Cricetulus griseus: one gene and its partner. The protein of the gene in region 2 interacts with the protein of the main gene of each other region in a pairwise test. Links are inferred from orthologs where the notes say so. Each region holds a gene or a part of one and is shown on either strand. Other genes may lie near its edges.

The links.
Region 1: the proteins of reticulon-1 (region 2) and Ugcg interact in a two-hybrid assay, tested with the Homo sapiens proteins (2 studies listed by BioGRID and IntAct). The link is inferred for Cricetulus griseus from reciprocal best matches to the Homo sapiens genes RTN1 and UGCG.

The regions. Positions count from the first base shown.
Region 1 is NC_048595.1:84,613,840-84,621,857, forward strand, and holds part of Ugcg (ceramide glucosyltransferase), read right to left. Parts: intron 6,438-8,018; coding exon 6,296-6,437; intron 3,340-6,295; coding exon 3,237-3,339; intron 1,953-3,236; coding exon 1,851-1,952; intron 1-1,850. UniProt on the Homo sapiens protein: Participates in the initial step of the glucosylceramide-based glycosphingolipid/GSL synthetic pathway at the cytosolic surface of the Golgi.
Region 2 is NC_048598.1:131,032,502-131,040,976, reverse strand, and holds the start of reticulon-1, read right to left. Parts: upstream 5,216-8,475; coding exon 4,969-5,215; intron 1-4,968. UniProt on the Homo sapiens protein: Inhibits amyloid precursor protein processing, probably by blocking BACE1 activity.

The DNA of each region.
Region 1 (8,018 bases), on a different chromosome or scaffold from region 2:
GGGATAGGAAAAGGAAACAAAACAAAACACAACTTTTTAGTAAAATGTCCATTAATGTAATATTTGTGAATTGCTATTAAACTAATATATTCTTTTGGACATTTGGATTCAATAAATAGCAATCATTTATTCTGAGAACACAAAATTTCAAAAAGCTCCACATTTTTAGCCTGAGAGACCTAATATGCGCCAGGCAGTTTTTGTTTTCTTTGAAAGAATATTACTAAGCTTAATAATTATAAATTAATTTTTTTGTAAGTCAACAGTCTAGAATCACCTTCTACAACTCAAAGTGAGGATGGTTCAGAGGCAGAAAGTAGTTCAGCTGGCATTGACCCTGGAGGCCTGAGAACTTCCTCCCTAATGAGATACCAGCAGCCTCTATGTCAGAACCTCCAACCAAATGAAGACAATGTCCTATAGTCAGGGGCAGGTCAAAGGACCACAGGTCTTCATATATTCTTTAACCGCAGGAGTGAGTCTGCTTTCTCAGTGGGAGTAATATGTACCTGATTCCACAACAGGGTTGCAAAGGCATGACAAGCATAAATTAAATTAACATAACCTAAATTAACAAACACGAAGATTAGACATGAATTTGGGTCATGGATCCTCAACGTGTAACACTGCTCATTAATTTGTAAGAATACTGAATATTAATTATCAAATTTATATCTTAAGGTAATGAAAAATTTGAACCAATGTCCAACCTTGAAATGGTGAACACTTCAAATCCTACATGACTGTTTTTATTTCCTTTTATTTGTTAAGAACTAAATGGTATAAAATAAAAAGAGTTGTGTCTGTGCTTTAAATACCCATATGGCAATAGAGACTCATGATGCAGTCCTGTAGTCCTGGCTACTCAGGAGACTGCAGCAAGTGAAAGATCCCAAGTTAGAGTTAGGTCGGGGCTGTTGTACAAAGCACTTGCTGGTCATGCATGAGGCCTTGTGTTCAACAGCCAGCACTTCAGGATACAAAAATCTCCCCTATTTTAGGTAGTGGTTCTCAACCAGGAACAATTCTTGGTAAGTGACATTTGGAAAATTGAGAATGGGGAAGGGTGCTACTGGCAGCCAGCAGGTAAGAGGACAGGCATGATGACAACATTTCCTCCATGACAAACTCTCCAGGCCACTCTGTCACTAGGATTGAGGATAAGGAACTCAATCTGACAAAAATACCATAGAGCTTAACACAAATGTTTACACCTATAAATACTAAGTTTGGTATATAAAAGGCTTCTTGCAACAGGCAAGGTGGTTTTATACTTATAACTCCAGTAGTTAGAAGGGAAAGACAAAATAGTCACAGTTCAAGGTCAGCCTGGTCTACATGGTGAATTCCAAGGCTGCATAATGAGACTGTCTCAAAAGGCCTCAAAAATAACCATTAAGATAGCTGGACCAAAACAAGCAAACAAAAAACCTTCTTGCTAAAATCTAGATAAAAAAAAAAAAAAGACATGACTGTCTTTTAATAAATGTATATATTTTAGGGAACATGAGATCATTGATCTGACTTTTTGGGTAAAATAAAAGATACAAGCAAAAGTGCCCAACAAATAAGCAATATTAACCAGCTCAAGGCTATCCAATGGATAATGAATCATGACTACTTTTTTAATGGTTGAATTTTCTCTTCAAAATGCAAGCATTTTAATAATTTAACATCTAGGTTAGCTTAAAAAAATTAAAATCTTAGTGAGCAAAATTGACATAAAACCATAAATAATGATGAAGTAAATTTTCAAGCAAACCAAAGATTGGTAAATAATATATTTTCACAATGTTTTTGGCGTTTTATCATCAAATGAACAGTAGCTGTATAGAATGAGAAAATCTCACCTCTTATTCCACTATCACAAATCCATATGAGATCATATTTTGCAACTTCATATCCTGGCATCAAATTATTAATTTTAGGATTAATGCCAACCTTTTTGCCACCTAAAAATGCAAAGACACAATAACAACACCTTTATATAATGCTGAAAATGCTATAAAAACACACGATGGAGAGAGAAAGAAAGAATACTGCCATATTTCATAATTTAAACATTTTTAATTTTTAAATATTCCCCATTTCTGGTATCTGTAAAAATGACTCATTCAAAAAGGGAGAATTCTGACTTTATCTTTGACAATACAGTCTGTTTTCTAGTTTGCAAATTCTTCCACTAACACTATAGGCTGATGCTTAATTTGACAACATAATATGATGATATTAAAACATCCATGTGCGGAGTACCTGAAAACTGCTAAGATACCTCATCACAAATTAGTATGCTAAGTATACATGTTAATTAATTTGATTTAGCCATTCCACAGTATACACATATTTTAAAACATCATACTATACATTATGGGTAATATGGGAGGGACAACTAAAACTAAGGGTCAATTGAGGGGGCGTATGGAAACCTAATATAGTAGAAGCTTCTCAAAATATGTACATATATGAAAGAAACCTAATAGGATTCACCAAATAATGGGAGAGCAAAGCCCCAACTAGACACTTCTCCCTACCCAGTGAAACCTCTAGTGTGCGCAGTGGGTTACAACTGATCAAGTTGTTGGCCAAAGAGGGCCCTTAAAGTCCTCCAAGAAACCAAGGCTATTGGTTACTCTCCCCAAACTGATGATGAGTCCCTATTGCTGAAGACAACACCTACATAACTCACTGAACATGGAGAAGTTGAGCCGGTGACTGACTGCCCCAAGCCTTCACCCCTACTGGCTAGTGCCCATGGTACTGGAAGGTACTTTGTACACTACCAGAAAAAGGAAAACACGTGCCTGCAAGGCATGCTGGTATAACAGTGACACAAAAATTGTGAAAGTAATTAAGGTCCACTCCATGAGATGGAACCCATGCCCAACACTGCTCAGGTGGCCTAGAGCCTGAGAATAGATAGACCATGGGCCGAGGGGAAAATCAAAATAGAAAAAAGGGGAAAAAAAGATTTTAGGAAAAACCCTAAAAACCAAAACAACAAATACTCATACCTGATTATTGACTAAGATATTATTTGTGTGTGTTTCATTTGGTAACCAAGACGTTGGAACTGTATTTACCCCATCCCCACATCACCACCCTTGCCCCCTGTAAACATGCTTAGAGCAAGCATACTGACTTTACTCAGTGAGCTCCTAACCCTGAGTTTAATGCAGAGCAGATCACTGATACTGAAACTACCAAAGCAAAATGGCCAATACAGACTTTGTACTTACCTATAAATAGTCTAGCATCAACATTCGGGTATTTTCCAAGCAGTTTCTTACATACATCAATGGCTGGATCATCATGATCTTGTACACAAAGGAGTACTTCATACTAGTCCAAGGAGAAATTTAACATTGATTAACCTCGTTGTTATTATTAACATTAATAAACTGTAAGGAAAAGAAAAAACACTGTGCACATAAAGTTTGCAAGCTTAGGGAGGAATCCTAAGCGATACAGATGCTTATGACAAGGGTGGCTTGGGTGGAGACAGCTTCTCCAGGACAAGGACCTGTCTGTCAGCATCAGGAGGAGCCTGGCAGTGTGTGGCAGGCCCCTCCCCAATGGCAACCTGCATATCAAGCTTGTTCATGACCTGAACTGCGGAACACACACTTGATGCTTACAAGACGAGCAGGAGTGTAAAAACCACACTGAGACGAAGTAAAACCAAGCACACTCCCTATTCTGCAGAATCCTTGCCCTAGAATGTAGCATCACTTCATGAGGTGCTACAAATTACAAATGACATCCCATAAAGGACAAAGTGTGATTAGAGTTCTTTTTGTTTTCTTCTTCTTTTTTTTTTTTTTGACTGAATTCTTACTACCCTGAAAAGCATACTTCACTTATGAAAACACCCAGAACTTCATTTTGCTCGATGCTATTTGGTTAGAAAGGCATTTCTGAGAGCTTGAATGGCCCTGCCACAACTGTCCTGTAACTTTGAAGTGCTTATATCACAGGGGCTCATTAGAGCCACAGGAAACCCACCGCTTACTTCTTTATAAACAAAAGAAGCAGAAACAAAATATTCATGATGCCTTTGGCATCCAACTTATCTCACCAAAAAGTGGCAGAAAAGGTATCTGTGGTTGAGCGATGAGAGAACCAGGACCAAGGTCAAGAAAGCACTAGTCAGTAAAGTGGGGATTCTGTTTTTTAATTAAAAAAACAAAAAAAGTCCCAATAATTAAGAAGATGGTGAAAACAAGGAATAGGTCCCTCATGATTTCTACCTCTTTATACAAATTTTACCCAATATCTATTTCAGTTATGATTGATCAAACATGCTACTCAAGAAGGGTTAAACTGTGTGTGTGTTTGTGTGTGTGTGTGTGTGTGTGTGTGTGTGTGTGTGTGTGTGTGTGTTGTGTGTGTGTTTGTAGGTACCTATGGGGTCCTTAAGAGTCCAATTTTCTGGAGTTAGTTATGAGCAGTTGTGAGCTACCAGTTGTGGGTACCAAGAATTAAACTTAGGTCTCTATAAGAGCAGTCCACTCTCTTAACTACTGAGTTAGCTCTCTAGTCCCATACCAAAAAAATTGAAAAGTATAATGTGTTAAGTAAGGGAACTCATCTTTATTCAATCACGAGGCTTGAAGTTTCCAAACTTGATTATACCTTTTAAATTTAATCCCAAAATTAAAAAAGAAAAGCTTTAATTAGCCATCATACAAATAAAACTCAATTCACATTATCTTGGAGTGGACACTATGACAGATTTTTTTTTTTAAAGAATTCTATCCAATTGAAGGAAGCATGCTAAGTGTTTTCTGAAGCATCACACTGTAACGAGGTGTCACCTCTGTGTCCTCCTGGTGTGACTGAACATTTTATTTGCTAGAAATCTCTGTACTAAAACAGTACAATCCCTCCAATTATAACTGAGACAAACACTAGACATGGTTAAATGTTTTCTAGTTAATACATTAAAATAACTTTGGGGGTATTGTTTACAATGTTGAAGACTGGACACATATACATATTAAAAACACAGTACATGTTAAAATATACCTTTAGGATATTTTAAGAGAGGCTGGAGAGATGGACAAAAATACCACTCAAAACAAAATTTTAAGTGGTGGTTCTGGGGATTGAAACCAAGGCTCTGTACATGCTAAACACACACTCTTATCACCAAGCTACACCCTGTCCTAAAATATGTTTTAATATGTGAATGAATTATATTGCACATCAAGCAAAATAACCTTTTTTTCTCCCTCCATTGGCTTCTTATAGCCTACACTGGCCTCCAATTCCCTATGTACCAGGGACTATGGCTTTTGGCCCAAATCCACATCTTGTTTATGCTAAGCTCAGAACTTTATGCATGCCACAGGCAAGTGCTCTACAGAGACACATCCTACCCTCTCAAGTACGCATACACACACATACATATCTTGAGCTACTACTCATAAAGAACTTCATACTCTAGGTTTTATAGAATTTTATATTTGGATCGTAATAGAATTTAAATCCTGTAACTGAACTTAGACTCTTAGTCCCTAGAACAGCTGCTGGCCTAGAACAGGTGACAAGTTCACTTGGGAGTTCATTTGGGTAACTTCTGAGTGAAAAAAAAAAAAAAAAAAAAAGCACAAAAAGGGAGGTTTTTAAAGAAAATACCTCTAAATTCAAAGTTTTGAAAGATAATATTGAATAGGTTACCTGTACTCAAGAACTAGATGGTTTTGTGCTACGCTTACCACGGTGTTAATGTTTTTAAAGTAAAATACTGTCAGAATGAAAGTCTCCCTTAGATTACAGATTCCTCTGGCTTTCTACTTCTGAAACTAAACTAGACTAGACTAGAAACTGCCTCTGGCATATGCTGTAACTCATTCCACACTGAAGACTAACATAGCTTTTCTCTTCCAGCAATTTAAATACACCGGTATACTACAGGACATGAGAAAAGCCATATGGGACTAGTTCTTTGAGCTTTGATGGGATGATGGCAGCAAAACCAAAATGTGAGGTTATACTCCACATCAGAAACATGTGGACACTAAGCCAGATGCTGAGATTTGTTCATAATTAACAAAATACTTCATTCACAAAAATAAACTTTCCTTTGTATTCACTTATACACTATGGGCTTGAAAACCTTCCAGCTTTCTTATTGTAAGCAAAGCTTACTTTAATTTTATGTATACAAAGCATCAGTACTTCCACCTTATATACAGTGTTAAAATTCCCAATGTTTCTGATGAGGAAAAACAAAACAAAACAAAAAAAACCCCACAGCCTAGTCCATTCCTCATGTGCACAGCACTACACTTACTTTGGGATAATCCAGTTCAAAGAATGTCTCCAAGTTGTTGATTAGGTTAGGATCCACCCCCTTCAATGGTTTCAGAAGAGAGACACCAGGGAGCTTGCTATACGGCTGCTTGTCTGTTGCCTTCTTGTTGAGGTGTAACCGGCTAAAAATCAAAAACAACACAAGAGTTATTTTTAGAGGATGTGTTGGTGAGAAACGAAAAGGAAGCACACACTAGCACACTGATAAATCACTACACTCTAACGGGATTTTTCTGTTCTTTCTTTTTCTTTTGAAGCAGAGTTGGGGCTAAATATCTTAATAAAGACTTAATTAAGCACAAGGGTCCAGAGAAAGAGAGGCAGGCAGAATAAACCAAGACACACCCAAAAGCATTGGTTTGGGCACCTCAGGGGAAGCTGCTTTTTAGTTTTTTGTTGTTGTTTGTTTGTTTGTTTGTTTAAAGACAGGGTCTCATATAGCCAAGGATGCTCTTGAACCTTGATCTTTTTGCCTTTAAGTATTAGGATTGTAAGCATGTACCACCATGCCCAGTTTATGGGCTCAAACCCAGGGCTTCATACATGCTAGCCAAACCCTCTACCAACTGTGTAACATCTCAGCACTAAGATGAGAGTTTTCAAAGCTGACATCTTTCTGAGAAGGAGACCTGAGAATGAAGGGAAGATGATGAAGAAAACAAGTCTTCACTTTGGGAAAACTAGAAGGAAGCAGAATGGATGTTCCAATGAAGACCAGCACACAGATGCACCCTGCATGCTGGTCATTCATTGCTGTGCCCTCAGTGCTTAGTAACCATGGGGTCACAGAGCAGGCATTCAGTAGATGCATACTGAAGAAATGAATGGCAGGTTGTGGGAGACAGCTTAGTGGGTGAGATGCCTGCTGTGCAAGCAGGAAGTTCATATCCCCTCTTGCCGACATGACTGCCCTACCTCTCAGACTGCCAAGAAGTAACCAGAGAGCTATTAAAGTAGGTAAAGCCTTTATATGTACCAAAAGACAATGGATGTTAATGAGCATGCTTGGAGAAATTACTATAAAGCAGCAGCAGGCAGGCTGCACAGAAGCAAGAGAATAAGGCAAATGGAATATCTAATGGTAGTTAAGCTGGCCAGGTAGAAAAGAAGGTTGAAGGAAAGATAACAAAACAAAACAAAACAAAACTCAGGTTAAAAAAAAAAAATGTGTCTTAGAGATACTAGAAGATACACCATCACCACCAGTTCACAGAGAAGCTGGCTCAGGTTCACATCACTGGTCCATGCCAAAGACACTACTTCTCCTAACGAGGGACACCCAAACAATTGGAGAAGAGAGGATGTGCCAAGTTAACATCAGTCAGAAGAGATGTTATTCTACAGTGTGGTGGAATTTCTTCCTCTATACTTCTTAGCACGGTGCAGGTCGATCCCATCAGCCAGTCTGCAGGCAGTTGGTAGTAATTAGATATGGGAGTACTCATGGGTCCAACTACAAGGTGCCCTAGGACTCCAGTATCTCCACCCTAACATCTCTGCAATCAATAGCATTTTAGGATTGCTCCGACCAGAAGGCCGTCCTGCCAGGAGTGTGAAGACCAACCAACACCTTCTAGCAGACCAAAAACACCATCTTCATTTCAAAGAATGGTACTACAAATGTATGGATGACTTGGAGGTACACCAGTGACAGTACCCCATAGGGACCAGTCAGCTTGGGTTTGCAGAGGAAGGCAGAGGGC
Region 2 (8,475 bases):
GAAAGACTGTAAGAGCTGGAGGATAAGAGAATTTCCTCCGTGAGGAACATCAGGAGTTACACCCATAAATTCTCATCAATATGATCACCCAAGGGTGAGCTGAACAATGATGACCCCAATGAACACACCAAACTGGATCGAGAAAAGCCTGCATGGCTTCATCTGTAAACAAAGAACTACAGGTAGCTAAGGAAAGCTGGGAACCGAAGAACCCTTCTCCAGGGAAGAGCACATCAATTGGTTGCCCAGTGCCAAATGGTCAGCTTTGAAAACATGCACGCAAGTAGAACTATATGGACTGAACAGGTTATATTTGGAATATATAGACATAATACACACACACACACACACACACACACACATACAACATACACACACACACACACACACACACACACACACACACACACGTGTGTACATATGCCTGAAATAAAAACTAGTGAAAAGAGAGGCCTTGAATGTAAAGGTGACTGAGGAGGGACAAATGAGAGGGTTTGGGAGGAGGAAAGGGAAGGGATAAATGTTGCAATTAAATTATAATATCAAAAATATATATATATATATATATATATATATATATATATATATAATGGCTAAATCATAATGAACAAAGTTGAAGACCTTGGAGTGATACTTAACATAGTGATTTCTTTGAAGAAGGGCAAGATGAGACAAAGAGGAGGAAAGAGAAGTGGATTTATTTTCCACGTCTATATTGTCAGAGCAAGCTGTACTCACATTTGTGTATCTTGTGTTGACCTCAGAAAACTAGCTCATGCTCGTGTTCCTGTGACGTGGGATAATGGCGATGGCCTTCCAGTCAAGCTTCCAGCAAAGATTTGAGAATGAAGAAAATGAAAACTGACACAAAGGAAGTGCTTGGCTAAACCAAACATGGACGTGAAACAGAAAGTGGCACACGGTCTAGGAGCCCTTGACCTGTGTTCAGCAGAGACATTCATAACTCTCTGGTTACAGCAGCTTCTCACTGTACAGATAAAACTTTCTGTAATCCGCGCTTCCTAGGATTGACAGCAAATGGGCAATAGTCCAGAACTCGCCCCGCCCCCAAACCTCAGTGTTAGAGGTTCATAGCAACCTAGAAAAAGAACAGAAACAGGCCTTCGTGGAGGGGTGAGCAGAGTGACTTTACAGAATATTGACTTCAAAAATGTCAAATTAGGCTTCAAGTCCTGATGATACCCATTTCAATGTATTTTGAAAGAGCAGAAGTACTTCAAAATGTTAATCCTAGCATCTCTGCATTCTGGGATGTGTACCGTACTTGACTGCCAGAAAAGTTAGACTGTGTCCAAAGGCTGCATCTGGAGAGAGAAATTGCATTAGGTTTACAGACTATTTTACTCCTTCTAGAGACTGTAAAAGCAAGATGGAGTGTTGCTTCTAGCTTCAACATCACTGTGGCTTTCTTAAAACATGAAAGAGAGAAGATGAGAATTTATAACTTCTAAAGGGGATTGCCAGACAGTATTTCAAACTTTAAAATAATCCACATGTCTATAAAACACACATGATGGTGAATACAGTCTACCCGGTTTCCAGAATGAATGACTGTAAAACATTGTAGTTTTCTAGATGGGATGTATAAAATATGCTCAACATAACTTAAATCATTATAGATGGAAAATGGTTTTTTAAAAATATACCTACAGACTTCATGGCCTCCGTAATATGCATTGAAAAAAAGAACTCTTGCTTCTCTTTTTTTGAAATTATCCACAAAATTATGTCGAATTTATCCATAGGATGGGACAGCTGAGACAGCCACATTGAACTGGCTTCTTCTGGGTGTTCTCTATCCCTGTTCTCCCCATCCATTGCTTTTCATGTGGTCAATGAATTAATTCCCAAAGCAGTCGATACGTTAACGTCTTACCATTCCAATTTGTTCAAATTCTCCTTGTTTAAACAAAAGGCCATTCATCCCTCATTTTGTTTTTGTGTGCTCCTTTTGACTAGTTCCCAGGAATAAAATAACTGATCATATGAAAAAATACAGAACAGTTGCTCTTAGCATCCTTTGTATAAAACTCTAAGAGGCTGGCAATGTTCCACAGTTAGTGAGCCTGACACTGTAGCTTCCACATGGCACTTTGAATGTTCCTTGGCCAAAGACATCATTGCACAGTCCCACTAGCAATTTTAGATGTGAAAGATTATAGCTCAAGAAGAATGTGTTATTTCTTGTTATTGTTGGGAATTTTTCCATGCTACAACAGTGACAGAAGCACTGAGAATATCTGAAAATTCATTCAGTGTAATGGGCCTTTATAGCTTGCTTTAATGATGTTCAGCTATGTATACTTATTCTGGAAGTTTTACGGAGAAGTATTTTTTTAACTATTTCTTGGGGGGCTTTAATTACCATCAAAGTATAAAAATAAATAACAGAATTTCTGGCCAGATGGCATGATTGGTGGTTCTTTTACATAAAAACAGTTTTTAAAACACCCGTATCTGTCTTGCATGGGAATAGTACGTGTGAAATTGGAGCTGTCTGTTTACAGTGCTTCGCACTTAAAGTCTAAGTTCCATCTCCATCAACACTGAAGCCTAAAGCATTCTTTCAAAAGAAAAAAAGAAAATAAAGAATAAAGTTGCCTTCTTCCCTTTGGAGGACACAGTAACAAAACAGCTGGGGGCCAGAAGGCAGAGCCACAGTAGACACAGACTCCTGGACACCTCGAGCTTGGGCTTCCTGCCTTCGGAACCTCAGGAAAGGGGGGTGCTATTTATAAAGCAAGCTATAAAACTGCAAAGTCAAGCAACGTGTGCCATGGTCTTGTCACTGATATGCTGATTTTGCTTACACTGAAAAAAAACCTGCAGAAATCACACATACGGAGGCAAGCCCTGATTTTATTTGGAGTTTTCAATATATAGCATTTCTGTATAAACATGTCCATCTAGATCCTTTCAACTTCCTCCTACCAAACTTAGACCCTTGCTTGATTTTATTAGTTAATTTGATGCTCAGAAAAGGAAACCTCTAATTCACCTGACAAAACAAAATACCTTCATAATAAAGATTAAAGTGTAGACAACGGTGACTGCTCCATCCAGTCACTGCTCTGTAACAGTATATTGCATATGTGTTATTCACAGAGTAGATTTTAAATGTTTTCACCATTAAAACTGATCACAGTTGTGTTAATCAGCTTGTTTTAAACATTCCATGATCTACACTATATCAAAACATTATACTGTATTATATACACGTGTATCTATATACCTACGTCCATTCGGAGCACTTTGTTGCATGTAACCTAACAAGATTTGCTTTTCTTTCTTACTTGCCCTTAGTGACACTGATGGGAGGTAGGGAAAGCTTAGAAACAAAGAATTTACCTGGGGTATAGCAGATACAGTTTCTGAACTGTAAGCCACCCTAAAGAAGTCTACTGGCACAAAGGTTGCTATTATTTGCCTTTTGTTCTGGCAGTTAGTTATACGTTTTCATTTCTCTTCATTTGGACACAAGGAGTTGCAAGAGACCAGGAAACTGTTCTTAGATTTAAATCCCACCCTACAGTAATTAATATATGACAAATGAGGTTGTCAGCTGTTGGGGTTTTTCACGCTTTGTTCCTCCCCACCCCCGCCATCATTCCCACTCCCTCCCCGTCTCCCCTTCTCGTTCTGCTTTCCCTCACCTCCTTTCACTTCTCTTTTTCTTGCTTGGCCCTACTTTTTTCTTTCCATTATTCAACACAGTCTCCAAATCTCCGTTCCTGGCTCAGATCTTGCTAGTTCTAGAGTTAAGACAACCTGAGGCACTCCACATAACCCTCAAGAGGGGGTGGCTTAAGAAAGGGGTTTCCCTAAATCAGCTGCCAGGAGCACATATGCCAGTCCTACCCACGTCCCTCCTCCAGGAACACCCACTACCCAGGCCTCACACTACATCACCAAAACTACACAACTCCCACTCCAGCTCAGCAGAGCCTTGCAGACAACAGCACAACACACCACCCCCCTACAGTATTTCTCCTGGAAACAGCGCTAACCAGGCAGCTACCCCTCCCTCAGCACGCTTCTCTAGCCTCCAAGGACAAGCCACACGTCCCTGGCCTTCGGGTTGGTCCCACCAGGCAAGGATTTGTTTTGGTTGTGAAGGGCGAGTCAGGGGGAGAGAGGTCAAAGCCCTGGCAGTTTTTGCAAACGCGGAGGTACAGAGTTCAGACTGATTGGTAAACTGTGTCTGGCCCTCTGACCACAACCCCAACACTCTAATTCGCAGCCAGGACCTTCACATCTGTGGGTTCCAAGTTTTGGTGCTCCCTGATAGAGCAGAGCAGCCAGGAAATAAAGAGAGAAGGCTACAACTCCCAACCCTCACACAATGTCCCTCTGGAATTAAGCGCAGGACTCTTTGGGGTTTGTTTTCAGCGCGAGAGAAGGGGAGCTGGAAAGGAAAGGAGTAGGTAGGGTGTGGTGATTCCTTGAGGGAAGAAACGGGAAAATTAAAACCCCTGTTGTACTCCGTAGCACCAAACCCAGCGGGAGGGTCCTGAGGCAGTGGGCCCGCCTGCTGCTTGGTTGTCAACCACTGTGGTCGCCGCCGGCTGAGCACGCTGAGCGCAAACACGCCCCAGAAAACCATCACAACCTGTCACGCCCGCCCTGCTGCCCCGAGGCCTTTGACAAGAGGGAGAAACTTGTAGCAGCAGTAGCCAGGCTTGCAAACAGGAACAACGTCTAAGGCCATAACAAGAGTAATAATGAAATAACAGGACTAACAGCCTCCTTCCTCCTACCCGCTAGCAGCACACTGCTGTTTTCCACCAGTCCGCTAACATTTACAGTCGCACGAGACGAAACCCTGCTGGGGTTAATGCCCCAGCCGAGAAACCAGGATTATGCAGAGAAGATCAGTGGACTAGAGGAGCTACAAGAAACCAGGGTCACGGCCTCTATTTGCGGGGTCGTGGTGCCCGCGGGGTTTACCTGTGGATGCAGTTTCCATGGCGACGGGAGGCGACCGGGCGGGGCCGGAGTACAGTTCCCGCGGCGACACTACCCCGGCTCCGGCTCCGGCTCCGGCTCCGGCTCCCGACCCCCAGGCGGGCTCCCCATCCTGCCGCGCTGGCCTGGCCCCTTTCGGCGGTGCTGCTTCGTCCTCCCCCTCCCCCTGGCCCGCGAACCACTGGGACCCGGGGCTAGGCTCATCTTGCAGATCCGGCGGTGCAGCCATGGCTGGCGGTGCCCCCCGGTTGGGCGATGGCGGCTTGGCAAGGCCCGGGTGCGGTGGCTAGGTGCGCGGGCGCTCTCTGCTGCTGGCCCCACAGGGACTTCGGGATCCAGGAGGCTGCAGAGTCTCTGCGCCGCCGTCGCTGCCTCTGCTGCAACTCAGGCCGAGCGGCGGCTGCTGCTCTGGGCGCTTCGGCTCCTCCTTTTCCCCCTCCTCTTCCTCTGTGGCCCCTGGGCGGCCGCCGCCTGCGCTCCTCCCCTGCTCCAGAGGCTGCTTGCTGTGCCAGCGCCGCTTCGCTACTCCCAAGCCTGTTATTACGCAGGTGAAAATGGCCTGCTTGGTCCGAGTCCTCCCCAGTGCACGTCAGCCCCGGGCCTGCTAATGGCAGGCTCTGATTAAGAGATCTGCCAAACCCATATCTCTGCCCTTCATCTGGGGAAAAATACAAGGAGAGGAGCAGCAGGTATTGACTGCAGCTTCACTGATTAGGCAAGAAGTTAAAGCCAGACTGGAGTCTTGGGACTCTAGGAGAGCAAGGGAGGCTAGGAAATCTCAGAACCACCGTTCTGAGAGTGACCAGAGTCTGATGCAGAAAGGACACTAGTCTGAACGGTTACCTGGTGGAGACAGGTGTTGGTGGCAAATGAAGACAGACATCTGCAACCTGGAGATTAAAGCCTTCATCCTTAACAGTTTCCAGAACAGGTTCAAACAAGAAAACAATAACAAAATAAGAGTACAGAAATGGATCATCAGGAGAAACTCCACTAAAAATAAATGAATAAAAAGCTTCCCAGACCTGTGCCAAGGAGCATCGAAAGCAAACAGGGACCCTTCTAGGCATACAGAAGCAGCTGTATCTCCTTTTGGAAGCATTCGGCCCTAGCGAAAGGTATCCACACGACGGGCTGTCTTGGCAGTCGGCTTTACTGGAGAAGTGGGCTTCCCTAGAAACTTCCGCCGCCGCTGCTCTTCCCCCTTTACTGTACTCTCTGATACAATGGAAGACACTTAATGAAAGAGGAGGGGACTCGTCTGCATGTGTTGTTCCCATTTTCAGACCTATCTTTTCAAACAAGCCATGTTTCACTGGTTCCTAAACTGTAACATGATGGGTCCTTTGAAGTCTTAGGTTATGTTCAACATCAGAGTAGAAGAGTACAGTAAATCACAGTTATCTGTTGGCCCGACTCTTTTAAAAGGTGGGCAGGGTGCAGAGAGGGTGTGGAGAGTTCTCAGCTACCATTAGCTTCCCATCTGTCTGTCGGTTTAAAGGACAGTGTCGGCACCATTTGGGTGCTCCAAAAATGATGATAATAAAAATTCCCAATTCATACTAATCTTTCGTTGTACTAGGTAGCAACAAGTTAGAGAAAATGTGGTGGGGAATCTGAAAGTCACCAAAATTTTACATTATTGCTATATTGAAGATTAATTCCTGAGGCTAGAGAGATGGCTCCGTGGTTAAGGGTTCTTGCTGCTTTTCCAAAGGACCTGAGTTTGGTTTCCAGCACTCACATCTGACAGCTCACAATCACCTATGACTCCAGTTCTCTCTCTCTCTCTCTCTCTCTCTCTCTCTCTCTCTCTCTCTCTCTCTCTCTCTCACACACACACACACACACACACACACACACATTTGAAACAACAGTTTCTATGGAATATGTCCATTATCTTCACTGTGATAATGGTTTCACAGTGTATGCATCTGCCAAAAATCCAGTTGTCCCCACATGAAGAAACTGGAGAATAGTCACACTAGAGAATTAACAGCACAACTGAAAGCTCTAGAACAAAAAACAGCAAACTCACCCCAGAGAAGCAGATGCCAGGAAATAATCAAATTGAGGGATGAAATAAATAAAGTAGAAACAAAGAAAACAATGCAAAGAATCGATGAATCAAAGAGTTAGTTCTTTGAGAAAATCAATAACGTAGACAAACCTTTATCCAAACTAACCAAAACAGAGACAGAGCATGCTAATTAACAAAATCAGAAATGAGAAGGGGGACATAACAAAAAATGGACACTGAGGAAATTCAGAGAATCATCAGGTCATAATTTGAAAACCTGTACTCTAAAAAAATAAAAAAATTAAAGGAAATGGACAATTTTCTGGATAGATATCACTTACCAAAATTAAATCCAGAACAGATAAGCAATTTAAATAGACCTATAACCCCTAATGAAATAGAAGCAATTTATCATCAAAAGTCTTCCAACCAAAACAAAGCCCAGGGCCAAATGGTTTCAGTACAGAATTCTATCAGAAATTCAAAGAAGAGCTAATACCAGTCCTCCTTAAACTGTTACACACAATAGAAGCAGAAGGGATATTGCCAAACTCTTTTTACAAGGCTACAATTGCCTTTGTACCCAAGCCACATAAAGACACAACTAAGTAAAAAGAACTACAGACCAATATCCCTCATGAACACTGGTGCAAAAATATTCAATAAAATACTGGCGAATCTAATCTAAGAACACATCAGAAAAATCATCCACCATGATCAAGTAGGCTTCATCCCAGGGATGCAAGGATGGTTCATCATATGAAAATCCATCAATGTAATCTACCATATAAACAAACTGCAAAAGAAAAACCACATGATCATCTCACTAAATGCTGAAAAAGCCTTTGACAAAATTCAACACCCCTTCCAGGAATAACAAGAACATACCTAAACATAATAAAAGCAGTATACAGCAAGCCAACAACCAACATCAAATCAAATGGAGAGAAACTCAACGCAATTCCTCTAAAATCAGGAACAATACAAGGCTGTCCACTCTCTCCATACATCTTCAATATTGTCCTTGAAGTTCTAGCTAGAGCAATAAGACAACAAAAGGAGATCTAGGGGTTACAAATTGGAAAGGAAGAGATGGAAGTTTCACTATTTGCAGATGCTATGATAGTTTACATAAGTAAACTCTCTACCAGGGAACTCCTACAGCTGGTCAACACCTTCTACAAAGTGTCAGGATGCAAGACTAACTCAAATTAGTAGCCCTACTATATATAGACCTTAAATGGGCTGAGAAAGAAATCAGAGAAACATCACCCTTTACAATTGCCACAAACAACATAAAATACCTTGGGGTAACACTAACCAAACAAGTGAAAGACCTGTATAGCAAGAATTTTGAGTCTTTAAAGATAGAAATTAAAGAAGATACCAGAAAATGGAAAGATCTCCCATGCTCTTGGATAGGTAGGATCAACATAGTAAAAATGGCAATCTTGCCGAAAGCAATCTAC